3 linked regions of the Diceros bicornis minor genome follow. Each later gene encodes a partner of the first gene's protein in a complex. Links are inferred from orthologs where the notes say so. Each region holds a gene or a part of one and is shown in the gene's direction. Other genes may lie near its edges.

Region 1 (6,593 bases):
TATCCTTCCCTTATCTCCTGTGTCCCGGAATCGGCTAGGTGAGTTTGCTGGCTGGGAAGACTGTTTTAAGGTGAGGTAGTAGGGTTCAGGGTCTGGGCTGGAGGTTGGTTGGTGTTATCCCTTCCCGTTGTGGTTCAGGCCAGGTGAAGAGGAAGATCCTGGTGCTGGATCTGGATGAGACACTTATTCACTCCCATCATGATGGGGTCCTGAGGCCCACAGTCCGGCCTGGAACACCTCCTGACTTCATCCTCAAGGTGTGTGGTGGTGGGAAGTGATGAAATGGTTATGTCCATTATTCTGCTTAGACCTGGACTCCCTTTCCTGGTCCCAGAGAGTCTTGTCCCCGTCTCCATTTCTTGGCACCAGTGTGAGCCTGAAGGGGGGAAGCAGGCAGTGGGAGGGTAGGGGGTGTCCTTTAGGCCTGTGTTGTGCTCAGGACTTCTCCCAGCCTTTCACCGTTCCTCTACAGGTGGTAATAGACAAACATCCTGTCCGGTTTTTTGTACATAAGAGGCCCCATGTGGATTTCTTCTTAGAAGTGGTGAGTTTGCGCAGCTAAAGGGAGCTCTGTGATGAAGGAATGGTTTTAGGGCTCTGGGAATTTAGAGGATCTGGAGGAAGTAAGGGGTGAGGAGAAATGGGTAAGGGCAGTTTTGGAGAGGGGAGGTTGTGGGATGATTAGAAAATGGCTTTTGATAGTTTGGGTTCATTTGTTGTGTTGATGTAATTCTATTTTTCCACAGGCTTCCTGCTCTTTTGTTCTCACCTCTCTGAATCTTAAGGGTGTATGGTGCCTAAGACTCTGAGTTTGGGGGCGTTCAGAATTTTGTGTTCCCAGAGACATTCGATGTTGCTGAAAGGCCTGAAGGACTAGACTGGATTCCTAGTGAAAGGGAACTGTATGTCTAAATGAATGATCACCTCTTCTGACACCTCTTTCCTGCGATCTATTTCAGGTGAGCCAGTGGTATGAGCTGGTGGTGTTCACAGCAAGCATGGAGATTTATGGCTCTGCTGTGGCAGATAAACTGGACAATAGCAGAAGCATTCTCAAGAGGAGATACTACAGACAGGTAAGGGGCTCGAATCCAGGTCTAAGAGTTAGGCTTGGGAGGCAGACCACCAGGGCAGGATTTGAGTTTGAGGCAATTTGCCCTGGAATGGGACCTTCTGGGCATGAGGGGGAGGTGTATGGTATGATCTCTGTTGTGAGAGTTGGCTGCCCATGGGTGTTGTTGGGATTAGGGGAGCAGTCACAGAGCGCGAGTCTCCTTCTGATGCCAGCTCACCCTGCCTTCCAGCACTGCACTTTGGAATTGGGCAGCTACATCAAGGACCTCTCTGTGGTCCACAGTGACCTCTCCAGCATTGTGATCCTGGATAACTCTCCAGGGGCTTACAGGAGCCATCCAGGTATGGGGAAGGTGGTGAGTCTGGCAGGACCAGGAAATGGTTTTGAGGAGGTATTTTGAATGCATAGAGCTGGGATTCCCTGGTTTACTGTAGGTCAGGATGTAAATTGTTTCTCTTTTAAATGAGACATCCCTCCTCTGCCACATGTCCACTTCATACATTAGATTTCCCATATCAAACTTGCTTCAGGTGAGACACAATGGCAATAAATTTTGCTAAAAGTCTCACACTAGTATGAGATATGGTGATTAAAGTTTAATTTTATTTTGGAGAATAAATCAGGAAGGTTTTACTTAGGTTGTTGAGTTTGGGCGGTGGGGGCAGGGTGCGGTTCAGTGAGGTATGTATTTAAAGAATGATCCCTACCCCGAAATAAAAGAAAAAAACAGTGTCTCTCTTGAATTCTTTGTTTCTTCTCATGTGTATCTTCACTCAACCTAGACAATGCCATCCCCATCAAATCCTGGTTCAGTGACCCCAGTGATACCGCCCTTCTCAACCTGCTTCCGATGCTGGATGCCCTCAGGTAAGGGAAGCTAGACATTTAGATTTCCGAGGCAAGGAGGAGGTGGGGGATCCCAAGAGGGAATAAAAGTTTGTCCTGTTTTACTTAACTTATCTCTCTTCCCTTAAGAACTTAGCATTTGAACCCAGGTCTTCTTACACTAAAGCTTATCACTTTTAGCCATTGAATTTTGGGCAAACTGAATCTCAGTCTCATCCAGTGAAAATGGTGATCATTTCTGCCCCACGTCTCCAATGAGGCTGCCTTACAGTAGTGTTGTGAGGATATCAACTATAAGGACTCTACCAATGCAAGTTATTGTCATCCCAGGTTCACCGCTGATGTTCGTTCTGTGCTGAGCCGAAACCTTCACCAACATAGGCTCTGGTGACAGCTGCTCCCCCTCCACCTGAGTGGGGTGGGGGGGAAGGGAGGGTGAGCCCTCAGGATGCCGTCTGATGCCCTGTCAAATGGTGAGGACTGCATGGGCAGGGTCTGCCCCTCCCACCCCTCTCTGCCCTGGGAGCCCCGCACTCCATATGGAGTTTGGATGGACACATGGGCCAGACTCTGAAGCAGCCTCACTCTAACTTCGTGTTCGCACTCCCTGGAAACCCTAGACTGGGACATAAGCCGAGACCTAGGAGAGCCGAAACAGTGTCTGTGGTGGAGAGACAGGACTGGCCAGAGTGAGAGACATTCGGTAATCTAGGAGGCTCAAAGAGAAGCCAAGCCAGCTTTGTTGTGATTTGATTTTTTAAAAACTCTTGTACAAAAATGACTAATTCTTCACTCCAAGGGCTGGGCTGTGGGTGGGAAACTGGGATTTTGGGCCACTGGATTTTCCCCAAACTTGTCCCCCCCTTACTTTTCACTCTATTTTCCCTTCTTCCTAGATTCCCTCAGATCTGTAACCACCTTTCTCTTTTTTTTCTTTCCTCTCTTTTAAACCATGCATTATAACTTTGAAACCAAAGCTGCCCTAGAGCCTTCTCTGGGGTTTGGGGAAATGAGGGGAGGGGTCATGGTTTACACCCTCCCTGTCCCCTAGGCAGAGGGGAAAGAGACTGCTGTTGGGCCCAAGAAGGGTAGGAGGAAAGGTGGTGCTGGCTTTTCGGGGATGAAAGAGTTAACATCAATATCTATGCTTTGGCGGGAAGGGTCTTAGTGACAGGATGGGCGGCCTGGCAGGGAGTGAAAGGACAGCTGCGTGTCCTGAAGGAACTTGAGCTTTAGCGCAGTATAACATAGAAGTATGAAAGGAGGAGAAACCTGGACGCCAGAACAGGCATATAGCTGGAGAGAGGCCGGGCTTCGCTTGGGGGACTGACGTGGACAAGCTAAGCACGGGCTGCCCCCAGGCGGCAGCTGCCCCGGGTCCTCGGCTCTCTCCGCTCCACCCCGGCGCTTCCACCCCTCAGCGCCCTCCTTCCGAAGCCGGCTCTACTTCCTCGCACCCGCCACGTGACGCTCCGCCCTTCTCCAAGATCACATGATTTTTCTGTTACAAATACTTAAAGTGTTCTTCCGCGCTGACGTAGTCCCTACCTTTCGGACCTCCTCTCCAGTCCCTATTGGTCCACTCATTCCTGGAACCTAAGCGTTCTGTGCGTCTCTCCAAATATATATTTCCTTTTTGTCGTCCGTAATTGCCGGAGACCACCTCCTCTGCTTGGGTACTACTTTGTTTTGGTGTCAACGGCCGCCTTTAGCGTACCAGCACGTTTTGTGAATAGCTATCCTTGTAATTATCTCTGCTCTTTTTTTCCTCTGCGTTACTTCCGAAAAGAACGTTTGGAGAATCAGGTCTCAAATTATTACCATCTCCTAGCCCTTTTCATTCCCGGCTTCGTGGGGGGAAGGTTGGGAAATGGGTTTTCAGTTACTTTCAACGACAGCTACGTAGCCTGCGTAGCTGACAAGTTGATTCCAAAGCGATTACGCTGACGGCGTGAGGGGGGGGCGGTCAGTAGGTGGTGCTACGCTAGCGGCGTTAGGGCTACTGAGCTAGTGGCGTAACATAGCAGGCGGGGCGACCCTTGATGGGCGGGGGCGGGGTTGGTGAATAGGGAAGTGGCGCAAGTCTCGGGATCGCTCCGCTGAATCCGCCCGCGCGTCGCCGCCGCCGCCGCCGCCGCCCCCCGTCCCGGCCCCCCCCCCCGGGTTCCCTCAGGCCAGCCCGGTCCAGCCCGGTTCCCGGGAGGATGAAGTTCGTGTATAAAGAGGAGCATCCGTTCGAGAAGCGCCGCTCTGAGGGCGAGAAGATCCGAAAGAAATACCCGGACCGGGTCCCGGTGAGGACAGTAGCCAGGGCCGAGGGCGCGGGCGCTGGCGCTGACGCCACAGCCTGGACTTGGGTCCGCGACGGGCAGCGCGGGCATCGGGCTGCCGGCTGTGGCGGGGTTGGGAACGAGGCCGAAACTGCTGTCTCTGGGACCGGAGGTGAAAGGAGTCGGGTAGCGGTAGAGCTAGAGGCGAGGGGATGTAGGTGGAGAGAGAGATCTTAGGATTTGTGTGGGAGGCTGTAGGGAGTTTGACAGCCTGAGCTTCACACGGTCGTTCCCCCCAGCTAGCTAGATTTTTGAGATTGAAGCTCTAGTCAGCCCAGACTAGTCATCCCCATCTGATTAAGATAGTTGTTTACTATGACGCCCTCTTCAGGGATCCTGGATATTTAGGTGAGTTCCAGTCAATGGGGTGAGGATCTGTACTCAGGGCTGCACCGCGTGTTCAGAGACAAAGAAAAATGAGTCGGGGGTAGGTTTGGGTGTTGGGAATATTGTTGCTCCAGCTCTTGACAGGTGGAGCTGTGAGGCTGTATACCTGATGTCTCCTAATTTTCATCTTTGTCAGGTGATAGTAGAAAAGGCTCCCAAAGCTCGGATAGGGGACTTGGACAAAAAGAAATACCTGGTGCCTTCTGATCTCACAGGTGGGAACCTGACCCAATACTCAGGTTTGCTTCCTGTGGGGGGGGTTGCAGTCTCTGTGGGAGGAAGCTCCACATATAGCAGCTGTTCTTTTGAGGGCATTTGTGACCTCTATGACTTTATCACACTTTGTATCTTTGGCAGTTGGTCAGTTCTACTTCTTGATCCGGAAGCGAATTCATCTCCGAGCTGAGGATGCCTTGTTTTTCTTTGTTAACAATGTCATTCCACCCACCAGTGCCACAATGGGTCAGCTATACCAGGTATGGTGACCGGGAAGTAGTGGAGGCTTTTGAGAGGAGTTAGAAGAGTTTGAGGGGAAGAACGTTTTAGGTCAACAATTCTTGGATTAGCTGGTTTGTTTAGCTCTCAATTTTATCTTTGGCCTTAAAATTTCCGGATTGCTCTGGATTGGGGGTTTGGACGGGCCAGTGGGAGTAGAGAGAAGGGTGAGAATAGTGAGCTGGAGCAACTATTCTGATCCAGACTCTCCCCAGTCCCCTTCCCATTCCAAGGCAGCGGAGAACAGTCTGAGATCTTTTTGCCCAGGACTGCTGTTAGGGATACTACTGCTTGCCACTAGGGCCTGGAGCGAGGGAAGGAGTCAAGGCACTGGTTTTTGGGGTGTTTAGAAAGAATGGTTTTTGAAGAATGTGTCTGGGCAGTGGGTGGTTCAAGTAACTAAAGCCCAGATGCCTGAGCACCATAATTTTCTGCTTTTACCCCAGGAACACCATGAAGAAGACTTCTTTCTATACATTGCTTACAGTGATGAAAGTGTCTACGGTCTGTGAAGCTGCTGCCCCTGAGGTGGGGGGTCCCATTCTACAGAGAGAGAGGTGGCCCCCCTTCCTTGACCTACTCTTCCTCCTTCAGGCTCAAACACCACCTCCATTATTCAGGACCTGCCCTTCCTAATGTTTGAGGCTCTCCTCCAGCCCGTCTTAGCAGGAGGGTTAATGGGGGAGATGGCCGCTACTACTTCTCCCTTCTCCTTTCTTCCCCCTTCTCTACCACCTTTGCCACTCTGCTTTAGACTTCTTGATTGTCAATCTCTGTCACATCCAGTGATTGTTTTGGTTTCTCTTCCCTTTCTAACTGCCCAAGGGGCTCAGAACCCCAACAATCCTTTCCTTTCACTACCTTCTTTTTTGTGGTGGATGGAAGGGACTGAATTGTGGGGGAAGGTAGGAGGCACATCAATAAAGAGGAAACCACCAAGCTGAACTGGATTTTGCTTTGTGTTGCTCCCCTCCCCCTTTTGTTTTTTACTCCTCACTGGTGGGGAAAGAGGTTGGAGGGATAGTAATAGATTTTGGTTTATTCTGTTGATGTTAGGCTTTTCCTTGTGTATAAATAGGGTGCTTTTGTTGTGATGGATGGAATACTCGGAGTATTGTTTCGTGAAACTTCAGTTTTACATACGTGTGTAGGGGGTCCTGATAAAAAGTTTTTTACTGTGGGTTCCTGTGGAGAAAGTTTGAAAGTACCTGCTTTAGAGAAACACATCCAAGTTTGTTATAACCTTTGGGATTAAGGAAGGGATTTTCGTGTGTGGGAGTTGGTAAAAGGACTCTGTCCTCAGTTGCATGTCACTTGGCCAGACTTTGTGCCGGCGTGTGGGATCCAGTGGAGTGGAATCCGAGAGAGAGAAGACTGGGAGGAGGAAGCCATTATCACCAGGAGAACTTCATCTCCCAGCAACCACTTCTCCGTCTAGCCGGAAGTGGAGCGGTCCCCCG
Region 2 (7,755 bases), on another chromosome or scaffold:
TGGGTATATTTCAAAATGCTTTATTTTCCCCTCCTCTGTCAGAAACATGAGGATTTCTTCTTGGCTCTTCACCATGAGAACCTGGTGAGGTTCCTGGAGGTAAAACCCGTGAAAGTGTGGGGTGCTCCCTAAGACTGCAGCCCCCAGGAGTTCCTCAGTCTCATACTAGCCCACGCTCCCCTTCCAACAATTTGTCAAAGTTATCATTTAAATGTGCTTACCAGCTTAAGGCTCCAGGGGCTTCTGTTTCAGGTAAGCTGATCTTGGCTGTGATTCTCTGTGTTTGCCTGTCTCTCCAGCATTTGGGGGGCAGTTTGCCCTGCAACCTCAAATCTCTGATGAGTCCAAGAAAAGTAACTGATTTAAAGTTTGTTTAGCTTTCTTCTTGTTGTAAGGATGGGAGCGATGACTTTCTTTACATGTCAAAGCTGAAACTGGAAGCCTTCAAAACTCTGTAAAAGCAAACTTGAAAAGCATTTTGTCATCTATTCAATTATTCACTTATCATAAACGCAAGATATTGAGCTAGACTCTATGGGTGGATGTGGAGATAAGCAAACACAGATCCTGCCCTCAAGGAGTTTATATTCTAATGGGATGGTACAAGACATCTTCTCAACCCCTGTGCTTGAACGTGTCAGAGGTGTGTGGAGGCGTTAACGGTCCCAGCTCCCAGTGCGCCAGTGGCAGAACCTGAGAGTAGCGTTCTCTCTTAGTTTTTCTTTATACACATGATTTTCTATTTGTGCCATCACAGGGAAAAAGTTGAAAAGTACTGGAGGTGGCAACAAGACACATACCAAATTACTGGAATAAAATGTAGACAGTGATGTGTCAAAAAAAGATCAGATTATAAGGTAGGTTTTGGAGGAGGGAGGCATTAAATCTAGAAATTCTGAAAATATTAGGAGAGGTCACATTTGGGGTGAACATGGAAAGATGAGTAGGATTTGGATGTGCAGAGAGGGAGGGACAATTGGTGGAGAATATTCCAGGTGGAAGGCACAGGGCAGGACTGGGGAAAGGACTGGGATGAAGAATATCGAGTTCATGGATGGACATTGAGGGTATTATGCAAAGTGAAATAAGTCAGAGGGAGAAGGTCAAATACCGTATGATTTCCCTCATTAAGTAGTAGATAATAACAACAACAAACAAACACATAGAGACAGAGATTGGATTGGTGGTTACTAGAGGGGAAGCGGGGAGGGAGGAGGGTGAAAGGGATAATTCGGCACATGTGTGTGGTGATGGGTTGTAATTAGTACTTGGGTGGTGAACATGATGTAATCTATGCAGAAATAGAAGTATAATGATGTTCACCTGAAATTTATACAATGTTATAAACCAATGTTACTGCAATAAACAACAACAACAAAAACAATATCGAGTTCAGTTTGGTTAGAGCGGAGGATGCGTGAGGGGAGTAACGGGTGATAAAAGTTAAAAAGCAACGTTGGGCCCATGTGGAATATCTATCAATTTGCATGTCTATATATCTATCATGTGATATTAATTGACATTCATGATAATAATAACTAAGGCACTACAAAATTCAAGATGCCTTGTAAATTGCCAAAGTTTAAATAACATTTAATATGATTGCAATGCTGAGTATGTTTACTGTGTTTTAATTGCAAGCATAGTGTAAAGTAAAGCTGCGTCCTTTGAGGGTGAGTTGGATGGTGAAGGGTGTGAGTATGAGGAATTAACGTCAGCGAATAAATCAAAAATCACAGCGTCAAAATCACCCTTGAAAATTGTTTCAATTGCCCATAAGGTCCATTAAGCATGGTTTTATAAATACTACCCTATGCAATAATTCTTAGGCACACTAGGTTTTGAGATTAAGGTAATTATAAGAACAAAAAGTGGGGGAGGAGTCTATAGGCAGATGTCTGAGCATTTAAGCTATTCTACATAAAACGATTACCAAATTCCTAAGCGGTGAATGGTTGATGAATGGAGAATTCTAGTGTCACTACCTTCAGAGTTAACTCCTTTTGGTTTGATATAAGGTCTCTATAAATGCAATGTACATGCACTGATTGTTTGGTGATGGTGTGTGTGTGTGGCGGCAAGGGATGGTAAAGCAGAAAGTGAAGAGGTTGAGGTACTAAAGTCAGTGAACACTACCTATAAGTTTAAAACAAAAGAAACAAATGATTTTGTATCTATAACAGTTTGCACTCTCTTAACTGAAAGTAGTAGAAGTTCACCTGAGCTGGTTCAAGCAATTAAAGAAAAAGCAGGAGTGGGGACTGGGTGTTTAGAAGGCTTTGGGGTGTAACCAGACCTAAGTGTTAGGATTCGGCTAAGCCTCAGGAATGAAGTGGACCAGGAATTTGAATGTCCTCCAAAACTCTTGCTTTTTTGTGGATCTAATCATTCTTACCTCTCTCCCCTCTCTTTTTATCTCTTTCACAGCTTTTTATTTTATTTTCAAAGGGGTGAAAGGCTTTAACAAGGGTAGGGATTACTGCTGCTATTTCAGCACTATTTCATAGAGAGAGGTAATAGAGAGAAATAATATCAAGGAAGTAGCTATTCTTGTTTACTAAGAGGTTTTGTTTGTTTTAAATCAAGAATTGCTAGTTCTTTACTTCCTCTTTTTATTGCGGTATAACTTACATACAGTACACAAATCTTAGGTGTATAGCTTGATGAATTTTCACATATGTAATCACACCAGATCAATATATAGAACATTTCCAGTACCCCAGTAAATAATAATATATACCTTTCCTTAAGAAACAGCTTTATTCAGGTATAAGTCACATACAATAAACACATATACACATATTTGAAGTGTACAATTTGGCAAGTTTTGATATATGTACACACCCATGCAACTAGTACCACAATCAAGATAATGAACATATCCATCACCCCCAAAGTTTCCTTTTGCCCCTTTGTAATCCTTCCCTCCACCCCCACCCCATTTAGCTATTATTCTTAACTCTCCAGATATGTCCTATAATTCCTTACAAACACAAACACGATTCTGCTATTTTTGAATGTGATCTTTTCTCCTCCTACATTCTTAAATTGGCAATTGTAGTTTAGGAAAGCTATTTCTCTAGCCACTTTAATGAACTTGTTTCAATTCATTCCTTTGGATTTTCCAAGTTAGCAATCATAATACCTGAAAAGAATTATATATGTAGATATATTTATATGTGTATATATATGTATAGATATATATATAAAAACATAAATACACACACACACACACACACACACACACTCTTATTGTTTTGTCTGGACTTCCTGGTTCAGTTAGGACCTCAGGGAAATGTTGGATAGTAGCAGCAGGCCTGCTCCTAACAACTTCAGGGCCCAGGCCAAGAGCACAAAAAGAGACCCACACACCATATGTCTAAATATTTAAAGATTATAAATCAAGTTAACAAACTGTTAGATTAAAAAGTTCTAGCCTGCTCCCTTGACACACCTAACTTTGGCAAACATACATATAATAACCTAGAAGGCTAGGTTCAAATTTAGAATCCTGAGTGCCATACCTCCCTATTGTACTTGAGGTAGCTTTTTCAGAACTTAACTTGAATGACCTTTACTTCAAAAGATCTTGTTTAACCGACCCTTGCATAAAAAATATTTTCCCATGGTATTGCCTAATACTTTAATTTTTCTCCTTAGAATTAAAATTTTATAAGCACCTCATTCCTAGAGTAAAACATATATCAACATCCACTATACTCACAAAGAAAATCCAAACTGCTTAGATTTTGTGCCTTATTTTAGCAATTGCCTTTCAAGGCTTTCTTACAGGCCCCTAGTCTTCCTTGGTCCACAATTCTCACCTCTACATCCACTCCACAGGAAGATTCTTAAGAACTGAGTTTCCTTAGCTACAGCTTGAACATCCTTATGACTTCTGAGGACAATACCATCAGTGGATACATTCTAAACAAGTCATCTGAATATTCACCAACACATATAAAAAAGGCTGGGTCTGGAAGTCAGGTCATCCAGAAAGCACCTGTGACCCGGCCAGGCCTTCAAAGCTAGCCAGCTGCTTCTTCCTTGGTAGCAGCTGGTAAGGGGAAGAACTTGGGAAGGAACTTAGCAAACCCAGCTGGAGTTCCAACTCGTTCACTAACTGGTTGAACTGGAGTGAGTCACTTAAAACTCTCTGTTGAGCCCTGGTGTCAGTATCTATAAAATCGGGACGAGGACCTTGGCATTAAGGGCTCCGTCAGCTTTGGGGTCAGAAATCACGACTTGTCTGAGCTTCAATTTCTGTGCCTGTTACAGTTAAGACTTGTGCCCTGTCCACCTCACAGGGTTTTTGGGGGCTCGAGGGAGAAGGCACAACCTTTCTGAGCTTCAGTTTCTACATGTGTAAAGAGCTAAGAACACACGGCCAGCCCGCCAAGAAAATTCCTGGAAGAAGAGAGGAAAATGGACAAGAACATTGCAAAAGTAGAAGGGTACATAAACATGAATTGTCTCATACTTAAAACACAACCAACAGACCTAAAAAGCGTTTGTGCGCCTCTTTCCTCCTGGCTTCAGTGTTACAACCCCACAACGAAAATCTAGACCACTTTTTAAAAGGATTCTTGAGGTCCCGGGCGGCGACTGCGTCAGTCCCACTAATCCGCGCGCCAGCCACACCCCGCGAAGCCTGGAATGGGCGAAAGGGGGCGGGGCCCAGCCCGGCCGGCCCGCCGCGCCGCCCCGCCCCGCCGCGCCGCGCCTGCGCCGTGCGCACCGACCGGCCTCCAGCGCCCCGGCCGGAGGTAAGGGGCTCGCGGGAGGTCGTCTCGGGGGCGTCAGGCCCTGACGGGCGCGGCGGGCGAGGCGCTGCCTTGGCGCGCAGGAGAGGCGTCCCGCGGGAAGCGGGGCATCAGGTCGGAAGTGCGAGCGCCGTGGAGCTCCTCTCGTTTCCCAGAAGTGGCGGTTTCGTTTTGGAAGCGCTGTTTGAAGCGGGTATAGGGAGGCGGCCAACGGGGCGAGCGTGTGGCCTCCCGGGGTCGCGGGGCGCAAAAGTTCCTGCGCCTGCCCTGCCCGTGACGCACGGGGGGCCGAGGTCGTCAGGGTCGCCGGCGTCTCGGTCTCGAGACCCGCCCGCACATCCGCTCTCGGGTGGGGGCGTTCGGTGCGGGTGGCCCAGGTGCGCCGTGGGTGACTCTGCGGGGGATGATGCGAGGCTCGGGGGTGGAGAGGGGAGGACAGGGAGCGGGGGGGTCGGAGCTGCTGTCAGTCAGACCGGGAGGTGGTCCGCAGAAGGTACCGGGTCCACCTTCACTTCCTCCTTTTATGAATTCGGAACCAGAGGCTCAGAGAGACCACAGGGTAGGACCAAGGGCCTTGACTTTCCTTTCCAAATTCAGTGCCCCGCCCCCCAGTCAGAAACACGGGGCGACGTGCCTGAGGAAATCCCGTGCCACCAATGTGGGAGCTCTAAGCTGATGGAAGGTGTGCATCACTTTGCGGGGGAGGAGGGGGGTTGCCAGCGATTTTGGACTTTTTCTGAGAAATGGGGCTTTTCACTTATAAATACTCTCAAGTAATGTAGTTAACCTCCCAGTACTTTTTCCTCGTTGGAAACATGAGTATTATGGTACAGAGCTGATAATAGTTGTTAGCACTGAGTGATCAAGTTTGTAAAGCACCTGGCACTCCCCCCCACCCCCCAAAAGTGTTAGTGCAGCGGATATGATTGTAGTTCTTGGACTTGTAGATGTTTGACCCGTGTTATGTGAAACATCAGTTCATATATATTTTTTAAAAAAGGCTTTTTGTTTTAAAATAATTTTACGATTATGGAAAAGTTAGGAAAGTAGTACAGAGTTCTCTGCAACTTTCTTTAATGTTAACACCTTATATAACTATAGTACGATTACCAAAAGGGAGAAATTAACATCAGTACAATACTGTTAACTAAACTACCAACTTTATAAAGATTTCATCATTTTTTAGACTAGTGTCCTTTTCCTGTTCCAGGATCCAATCTAAGATCCCACGTTGCCCTTAGTTGGCATGGCTCCTTAGTCTCCTCCAATCTGTGACAGCTCCTCAGTCTTTTCCTGCCTTTCATGACCTTTAACTTTTCAAGAGTAGAGTCCTGGTCAGTGGTTTTGTAGAATGTCCCTCAGTTGGGTTTTGTCTGATGTTTTAGCATGATTAGATTAAGGTTATGCACTTTCGTTGACACTACAGAAGAGTAGGTGCCCTTCTCAGCTCATCATATGAGCGGGTGCATGATATGACACATTTGGTGTTACTCTTGATCACTTGGTTAGGGTAGTGTCTGCTGGGCTTCTCTAAAGTTGCTATTTCTCCTTTTGTAATTAATCCATATCTTGGGGCAGAACTTTTAAACTATGCAAGTATCCTGTTTCTCCTCACACTTGCGCTTGCTGATTTTATCGTCCATTGATGGGTCTTGCCTTCAGTAGTCATTACTGTGATGTTCTAATGGTGATTTTCTGTTTCTCTCATTTCTTCTTCATTTATTAATTGGAGAATTAAAAGGAAGAACTGCCTCTTTTCCCATTTATTTATTTTATTCATATATTTATTTGTATCAGTATGGACTCATTTATTTTTCCATTGGTTATTATTCTACACTTTTGTTATTTAGTTTATGTCTCAAAGTGTTCCAGCTTTAGCCACTGGGATTTTTTTCTGGTTGCTTCTTGTGCCCTTTTGATAGGACCCTATCCTTTTTTGAGAACTTCCTTACTTTCTGGCACCATAAGATGCTCCAGGGTTATCTTGTGTTTTCCCTGCCCCAGCCCTGGAATCAACCACTTCCCCCAGGACACCTGGTTTCTTTTTTATGAAGAGTGGTATTTAAACACCAAGATCTGGGTGCTAGGTATGCTCACTGCTACTGGGGTATCATTGCTTCTAGTGCCTGGCAGAAGACTGCTAGGAAAATATATATATCTCTCTCCACATCCACATATTCCATGGAGATATATATACACACACATATATATGTATCCATACATACACAAAGATTTCTATTTATTTTTGTACTTATTTTTATGTATATATACACAGCCATATATATACAACATATGTCTGTATATATATGTCAGTATATATATTTTTAAAAAACAAAAGTTCATTCTGATACCTCCAATTGTAATTAACACCACAGGGTTCACTCTAGTCTTGCCCCTTATCTTTCCTTGACAGTGAGAAATCTGGCTTTCATGTTCTACAAAATATTTTCTTATTTGTTCAATCCTAGTTTACACATAAAGTGATTTCAGGAGTTCTAACCCATGCTTCTATGAGAAACCAGTTACTAACTAGAGTACAGTATAGTTGTGTGTAGTTCTTTGTGTCTTTAGCCCTGTAGTATCTAGTTACAGTACTGTTTTCCAAAGTTACCTAGATTAGTTATTTTCTTCTCCCACTGCTTTCAGTGTGGTTATGCTATTCATTTGTAATACAGTTAATTTTATTTTTTATGGTTTGTATGCTATTTTGGCTTCCCCCACATCTTGTCGTTGTTTTTGTTCTTCTAACTTACAAAAATTCACTCTTTGTAGTGTACAGTTCTTTGAGTTTTGACAAATATGTATAATTGTGTATCTACCACCACTGTAATGATACAGAACAATTCTGTGAGCCCGAATCTTCCATTAGGCTTTAAAAAAACTGTTAAAAGTAATTCTACAGAATCGTGAGAAATTAGGCACTTTTGCATGTTTTGTTTTTTTCATAGGCTTGTTTTACACAGTTGTGATGTTAATATAAATGTATTTTTTA
Region 3 (7,210 bases), on another chromosome or scaffold:
CATTTGCTCCTAGAACAGTGGCTGGTGCAGCACGAGGGAACCCCACTGTCCACACTCTCCTCTCCAGTCTCAGAGCTTGAGGGACCATTTTCCTTCAAAAGTTCCAAATGTGGGAATTCATGCAGGGCACTCACACCAGAGCAGCTCACTCAGGTACTTGTTCATACTCACATACATACCCATGGAGCCCCAAAGTCACACCCTACCCTCACACCATGAGCAGATGGACTAAAACTAAGCCAGGCATTTGGCTTCCTGCCACCCATCTCCTCTTCTTGAAATGAATCCTGTCCTGACCATCACCTCCTCCTTGTCAGGGGCATTAAGCACAGTTCACACAAACAAACTTGGATGCCTGGAGATTGGGACTGGAGGTACTATTTAGGGAGTGTGGAGCCAGCCATTTTGCAGATGGGGAAACTGAGGTTCAGACAAAGAAAGTGACTTGCCCAGGGCCAGGCAGTGAGGCCAGGATTGATAGAACCAGGGTTGAAATCTGGATTTACTGACAATCAGACCAGGGTCTTTTTCATGGTGTGTATGCACACACACACACACACACACACACACACCACAGTTACCCTCAATTCAGACATCTCTGGCTTGAACAACAAATCTTTTTGAGTAGGAGTTCAGGGCATATGGCCCCTTGTTAAGGTCTAGGCCTATCTGTTGAGGGAATTTGGGGATTATGTCTGCCCTAGCTGGCTTTACCAGTTAAATTTCTTCCCCTCTCTGTCTCAGTTTCTTCATCAGTAAAACGAGAAGAATATTACCTACATTAGGGGATTATTGTGAAGATTAAATGAGTCATCAACACAAGTAAGGACTTAGAATAGTACCTGGCACATAGAAATCTCAATGATCTCATCATTAGTATTATTTGTTTAACTCTGTAGATCTGGGGCTGGTAGGGGGAGAGCTCTGCTTCTAGAGTGATCAGAGCTTACTGGTTTTGACTCAGATTCCAAGCTACCCACTGGCTTCCTCTCAGCCTTGCCTTCTAGCTTAGGGAGTAAGGGGGGAGAGGGGAGTGGTGAGACAGTTCTCCAGCAGGCTCATACCTTCGAGTACACGCAAGGTCCTGTGAGGGACACACCCAGGCTGACACATCTTTGCCCTTGGAAATGGGGGGCCCCAAGCCATTGGGAAGCCCCCAGGGTTTAGTGGTGAATAGAAGGGTGACCTCTTGACCTCAAACCTGGGGCCCATAAAATTGAGCAAGTGCTTACATCTGGGCAGGGATTGGATGGGTTAACCCCATGGATGTGAGCTCATGTGCACATGTGTGTATATCTGTACATGGATGCTTCATGTGTATACATAGATGCCCATGCATATGCATATCCATGTATGTACACAGGAGTGGCACCCTATGTCTGATTGGAAATGAGACTCCAGGATTACTCCCAGCCTGGTGCCCACTGCCCCTTTTTACAGCCTCCAGGCCCAAGCCAGGGTCCCAGAATACTAAGCCCACTCCCCCAGGCCAGGGTCAGTGGATGGCTCTGCTGCTCTATAATTCTAAGCAAGTACCTTGGGCTCTGTGTGCCTTAGTGTGCCTCAGTTTCTCCACCTATAAAATGAGGAGTTTGGATGAATTGAGAGCTGAGGTTTCCTCCAGCCCTGATAATAAATCTCTGTAGTGAGGAGGGATGGGTCCCAGGGGTTTCAGGAAGGGATTCTACTGGGCTCCAGCCCCCAACTTCCATGGGTACCCCTGACTCTTCAGAGAAATGGAAGACTGGGATCTGACCTAGCAGTCTGTACACGGGGTTCAGCTAAGGCTGGGAGCAGAATCCAGGTTGTTTAGGGTATCAGAGTGTATGTCAGGAGCCCCCTTCCCTGGGCTCGGGGAACCAGAAACCTATGCCCAACAAAATGCGTCCTGTACCAGGATAAAAGGTCCAGGTGTCAACTCCTGTACCAGCCACTCTTCTTGAGCACTAACTGCTGATCTGATTGGAGTCTACTCTGTGCCAGGCCCAGCGCAGGCTGGGTGGGGGAGTATGTGGACAAAGATTCTGCCCATGGGATGCCAATCATCCACTTGGTAAGACACATACACACCCACAATTAGTCATCTTCACTTACTGTTTATTGAACAAATAAATGACTGTCCATCAAGGTAGCTCTGGACACATGGGTGGGGACAAGGAAAGCTACCTAGAAGAAGGGGTGAGTAGAATCTTGAAGACAGGAAAGATCTGAATTCAGAAAGGCCTGAAAAGGGCATACCAGGCAGGGGTGGATGTGGGAGAGTGTTGAAGAGACAAAGAGGAGTTTGACCTTAACACAAGGCACATGTTGGAGAAGAAGGGAGATGAAGCTGGAGAGAACTGGGGCTGGATCATAGAAGGCCATGAATGCTGTGTGAGGAGTGTGGTACTTTGGGAGCCACAGAAGGTTTTAGAGCAGGCAAGTGGTGTGACAGGAAAGGTGTGTTAATGATTATTTAGTTTAAGTCAGCAAGGAGGTCAAGAGAGGGTATGAGGTTAGCAGGAAGTAGATGTGATGGGCAGAGGCTCAGGGTTGCCTGGAATGAGGACACTTTGGGGACACCACTCCAAAGGCCAAAACACTGCTCCCTCCTCCCCCAGCAGCCTCTGGGTATTCCTGGCTCCTTCTCCTGGTTGCTAGGGCTGAGGAGTCCCTCTGGGGTTTCAAACTAGGCTGGGACAGGATTTTATCACCAGAGCATGAAGCTCTGGCCTAGCTCACCACCTGCCTCCTGTTGGGCCAGATGGGCAGCTCTCAGACCCACCCTCACCAGTCCTGCTCTACTGAGAGAGGACTCAGAACCTCTGGCCCTAGAGATTCTGAGGATGTATATTTGTGGTCTCTCCCCAGGCATTTCTCAGGCCACTGGGAGAGCTGGGGGCTTAGGACATGTGATTGGCAGAATCCTGAGGGTGGAGTGTTTGAAAGAATCTCCAGAAGGAAGCTTGGATATGTTAAGTTTGACAATAAGGGAATTGGGGCTCAGAAAGGTAACATGACTTCCTTGAGATCACACAGCAAGTTTGGGGCAGTCAGGACTGAGCCCAGGTCTCCCTGGGGAGGCTGGAGCACTCTGGGGTTTAGGCAGTCTGGTGCATGTAGAGAGTGGAGAGGGCTGGGGCCAGGAACTGAGTTCAAATCCTGGCTCTGCCATTTACTACAACTTTGTGACATTAGGAAGTCACTTAGGCTCTCTGAGTCTGTTTTCTCAACTGGAAAATGGGGATAATATTCACCTTTTGGGGTTGTTGTGAAGATCAAAACACATATAAAGCACTATAGCACAGTGCCTGGGACTCAGTAATTGTTCAATAAGTGTCCGCTAGTGGGCTGGCAGCGGCAGCAGTAGGTACTCAATAAATGTTTGTTAAATGCATTATTGAATAGGAATCACCATACTAACAGTGAGATTTGTGAGCCTCAGTTTCCCCGTGTGAAAATCGGGACTAATAATCCCTGTCCTGTCACTCTTCTGTCCAGCCCCAGTAGCAACGTGGATTAAATAAGGTGTGTAAATATTCCCGTACAGAACAGTCTCTAGGTCAATGTTTATTCAGCCCAGAGCAATTCCTCTCCAAGTCCTACTCTGCAAAATTTCCCGTCAGCCTAACCAACTCTTCTACACTCCCGAGTGCTCCTCCGGAACCAGAAAAGAGGGATGTCGCTCACCTTTCAAGCCTGCCCAGCTGAGGAAAAATGAGGTGGGAAAGCAGAGAATGTGTTGGGGTGGAGATGAGAGAGAAAAGCGAGGGAGAGCAAGGAGAAAGGTGGTGGGGAGAATGGAGGTGCAGGGACGTGGTGTGGAGTTGAGAAGCGGGTACAGATTGGGGGATTTGGATACAGGATGCAGGTGAAAAGATATGGAGGGAGTGGGAGAGGTGAGGGCGCTGGGATATGTGAAGGGAATGCAGGAAGATGGGGATCCCGTAGGAAGGAGTGAGGACTCTCCTCACTGAGAGGTCTGTGGGTCGCCCGGGGCAGGGGGTACAAGCTCCCAGCAGTCACCTTTCGGGGCGGCCCCCGGAGGCTCGGAGCTGGGCTCCCGGGCAGGAGCCACTAGCCAGCGAACCGTGGAGGGGGCAGGGAGGGGGGATCCGCAGCCTGGGATTGGCCGCCGCTCCGCCGGCCGGTGACGTGAGGCGGGCGGGCCCCTTTGTGACGTCACAATCAGCTGTTTGAACGTTCCAATTTGTGCCGTGAGCCCAGCAGCCGCTGCACAGACTCAAAGCCCCGCGGGCGAGCGCAGCAGCCGGCAGCGTCCGGCCCGTAGCCCCGCCGCCTCTCCGCCCAGCCCCCGCGATGCGCCCCGGCCTGTGATCAGCCGCCGACCCTGGGACGCTCCGCCGCACAACTACCTCAGCGCCACCGCGCCCACAGCACCGCCCTCGCCCCCAGGTGAGTCTGGAGCAGCTCCGGCCAGGGGGCTCCCCGCGCCCCGGGACACGCCCCGCGCCCCCTGCTCCCGGGTCTTTGTCTGTTTTTGCCGGCGGCCGCCGAGGCTGCATTCGGGTCTCCCGATTGGCTGCCGCACGCCGGTAGACCATGACGTCTCCCTATTTGCATATGACATTGAGACGTCACCAAGGCCGGCACCGCCCCCCCCGCCCCCTCCCCGCTCGGGTCGCTTGTCCTCCAGTGACCCGGTGGGCGCTGGGTCCGGGCTGGGCCGGTGGGTGAGGGACGCTGAAAAGCAGCGGGACCCGAGGGGCCTCGGCAGTTTGCTGGGCTAGTTCAGGGGCTGCGGCGGGCCTCTGATCCCCTATTTTCTCCTTGCCAACTTGAGAGGGGTTCGGACGGCCCTGCTGGATCTAGGTTGGGAGGGTTGTCAGGAGTTCAGAGGCAGCTTGTATCTCCAACTCCAGGGTGTTGGGGCAGCGCCAGATGGTGGAATCCCCTCCCTCCGGCTCCAGGCTCTGCCCCCCCGGGACTAACATAATAACATCCTCCTAATCCCTGGCATGTGTGCAGCGCCTTAGCTAACATCACTCCCAACCCCAAAACAGGGATCTTAGACCTCATTTCACGGAAGGGGAAACTGAGGCCGAGAGAGGAGAAGTGGCTTACTTGAGCTCATGCAGCCAATTAGAGTCATGACTACTGAGTGAGTGACAGACACATTAGGCACGGGCACATACCTAGTAGGAGCTCAATACTAGTAACAAGTTACACATCCTCCTTCCATTGGAGACTCTACCTTAGGCTCAACACCATCCAAATTTGATAGGGCTGGTAGGTCTTCTCACTCCTGGATCTTTTTCCAGGAGGTCTCTGGAGATTGGGTCCCCTTTTGTGGCCCTGACTCTCTGTACCCTGGAGTCCTAGAGCCCAGTAAAATTGCTGCTTCCCAGCTGTTTTGACCACAGGAAGGTGAGTCATGGCTGCATCAGGGTGTCTCCAGGGCTGATGTAGGAGTGGGGTGGGAGGTACGAGTTTCCTCTGTTTGGCCCTTCATCACCTCCCTAACTCCCAGAGTTGTCAGCTAGGAAGGACTGACCTGGCCAAGTGCTGGTGATTACAAGGCTTGTGCTGCCCCTCTCTCTGCTCACAGAGAGGGGCCAGAGAAGAGGTAGGAGAAAGAGAGCTTCTGACTTTCCAAGTCGATGGGCCTAGAGGCTGGACCAGGAACCCCATCCCAACCTGGGCTTTGCTCAATGATGGGCTGGGGTAGAGGTGGCTTGGGGCTCAAGTGCTATTCCGGGCACAGCTGCTGTAGTTATTAAAGGGAATGGTTCTCCCTGGAGCAGAGCTGGGAATGTGAGAATCAGGAAGCTGGCAGGGCTGGGAAAGAAAATCTGAGAGGCTCCCCCAGTGGTCATGTGAGGGGGCAGGTGCTGGCTGGCTGGTGCTGCTGTTATTCCTGGCCCTGTCACTGACTTGCTGTGTGACCTTGGGCAGGGAGCTTCCCTTCCCTGAGCCTCCCTTACCTCAATCTGTCTATAATTTGAGGAGGCCCAGAGAGGCTTGGTACACAGAATGAATCTTGGGGCCAGGAACCCCAGACCCTTTATAAAAGGGGTGGGCAGAGGGACTCTGAGGGGGGCAGTAACTCGATCAAGGTCTGACTCCTGTCTGGCCTCCCTATCTCCCCTGCATCATTATATTTTGGGGGATTGTTTGCTGAGGATTTCCCTACTGTGTACACTCTCGACTGGATGCTCAGTGACCTGGGGCTAGGTCTGCCCTGCCACCATCTAGCTGGCTTTGGACAGACTTATGTCCTCTGACCTGCAGGTTGTAAAATGGGCTGGGTGAACATGTTGGTCCTGAAACAGCTCTTCACTTCCCTTTCATCTTCTCTAATGAAGTAGTAGGTCCTTGGAAGGAGGGTGTGCCTCATCAAGGCCCCAAACTTCCCTTCCTTCAGGAGGGGCCAAACTTTCTGGATTTTTGGTAACTGAGTCACTAACTCCTGTGGCTACAGACGGGTTGGGATATATGGCTTGTGCCGGGCAGGCACTAGGTAGGGGTGGCCCAACCTTTCATAATCCCTGTAGATCTCCCACCAGCACCCAGGGAGCACTTCCTTCTGGAGTCCACTGTGGGTCTGCAAATGTGGGAATATTGTCAGGGTATGCAGGTTAGGTGATTTTGTGGCAAATGTGAAAACATTCCCAGGGAATGGGAGAGGTAGCAACAGGCACAGAAATACCCGGGGTAGGTTAGCAGTCAGAGTAGAATGTGGACATGCCCCCCCGGAGTTCTATAGGAAGTGTGGAAACATCCCTAGAGGAAGGCGATAAGGGGCTCAGCAGCAAAACTGTTGATCTTCAGGGGAAAGATGTGGAGGGCTAAGCTTTAGGGACATTCAGGGTGTCTGACCAGCAGCCCCTAGCCCAGATCTAGTCCTGAGGTAGGCTGAGGAGGGGAGGGGGGCAGATCTACAGCCACCTCCTTGGTGTCTCCATGGAGCCGGGGGTCTCCTTTCTCATCTTTACCCAGGGAAGGACTGATTGGGGGCTTGAGTCCTGGTCCAACCCTTAGCGCTCATCTTTAAGGGCTCCTGGGGTCTGATAGCTCCCTTCCTCCCTCATCCCCTCCCACTGACCCGCTGTCTTCCTGGGGCCAGGCAACCTGATCTTCCTCCTCCTAGCCAGGGATGCTGCCCTTGAACAGGAGCTTAGGAATAGGGGGTAAGAGAGGGGAGGGCCTGTGGGAATAGGATCTTTGAACTTCATCTGACAGACATAACTGAGGGCTGTGCGATCACATG

What was found. Proteins that work in one complex are often made in the same cells at the same time.
Region 2: the proteins of GABARAP (region 1) and STX17 are in contact, whole or in part, in a crystal structure (PDB 7BV4), measured with the Homo sapiens proteins. The link is inferred for Diceros bicornis minor from reciprocal best matches to the Homo sapiens genes GABARAP and STX17. Residues at the interface, in NP_009209.1 of Homo sapiens: Tyr5, His9, Lys13, Glu17, Lys20, Ile21, Arg28, Pro30, Lys46, Lys47, Lys48, Tyr49, Leu50, Pro52, Leu55, Gln59, Phe60, Phe62, Leu63, Lys66, Arg67, Phe104; in NP_060389.2 of Homo sapiens: Ala169, Glu170, Ser171, Trp172, Glu173, Thr174, Leu175, Glu176, Asp178, Leu179, Glu181, Leu182.
Region 3: the proteins of GABARAP (region 1) and TP53INP2 are in contact, whole or in part, in a crystal structure (PDB 8T31), measured with the Homo sapiens proteins. The link is inferred for Diceros bicornis minor from reciprocal best matches to the Homo sapiens genes GABARAP and TP53INP2. Residues at the interface, in NP_009209.1 of Homo sapiens: Tyr5, Glu17, Ile21, Tyr25, Arg28, Pro30, Val31, Ile32, Lys46, Lys48, Tyr49, Leu50, Val51, Pro52, Asp54, Leu55, Gln59, Leu63, Arg67, Phe104; in NP_001316358.1 of Homo sapiens: Glu31, Val32, Asp33, Gly34, Trp35, Leu36, Ile37, Ile38, Asp39, Leu40, Pro41.

The regions. Positions count from the first base shown.
Region 1 is NC_080757.1:11,041,452-11,048,044, forward strand, and holds GABARAP (gamma-aminobutyric acid receptor-associated protein), read left to right. Parts: upstream 1-4,053; 5' UTR 4,054-4,125; coding exon 4,126-4,215; intron 4,216-4,774; coding exon 4,775-4,853; intron 4,854-4,995; coding exon 4,996-5,114; intron 5,115-5,579; coding exon 5,580-5,645; 3' UTR 5,646-6,078; downstream 6,079-6,593. Other genes in the region: CTDNEP1 (CTD nuclear envelope phosphatase 1), read left to right, coding at 1-38, 139-257, 473-544, 960-1,076, 1,305-1,416, 1,858-1,942, 2,252-2,312. UniProt on the Homo sapiens protein: Ubiquitin-like modifier that plays a role in intracellular transport of GABA(A) receptors and its interaction with the cytoskeleton.
Region 2 is NC_080767.1:9,866,293-9,874,047, forward strand, and holds the start of STX17 (syntaxin-17), read left to right. Parts: upstream 1-4,747; 5' UTR 4,748-4,766; intron 4,767-4,829; exon of another isoform or gene 4,830-5,140; intron 5,141-7,755. UniProt on the Homo sapiens protein: SNAREs, soluble N-ethylmaleimide-sensitive factor-attachment protein receptors, are essential proteins for fusion of cellular membranes.
Region 3 is NC_080758.1:24,903,668-24,910,877, reverse strand, and holds the start of TP53INP2 (tumor protein p53-inducible nuclear protein 2), read left to right. Parts: upstream 1-4,202; 5' UTR 4,203-4,395; intron 4,396-7,210. UniProt on the Homo sapiens protein: Dual regulator of transcription and autophagy. Positively regulates autophagy and is required for autophagosome formation and processing.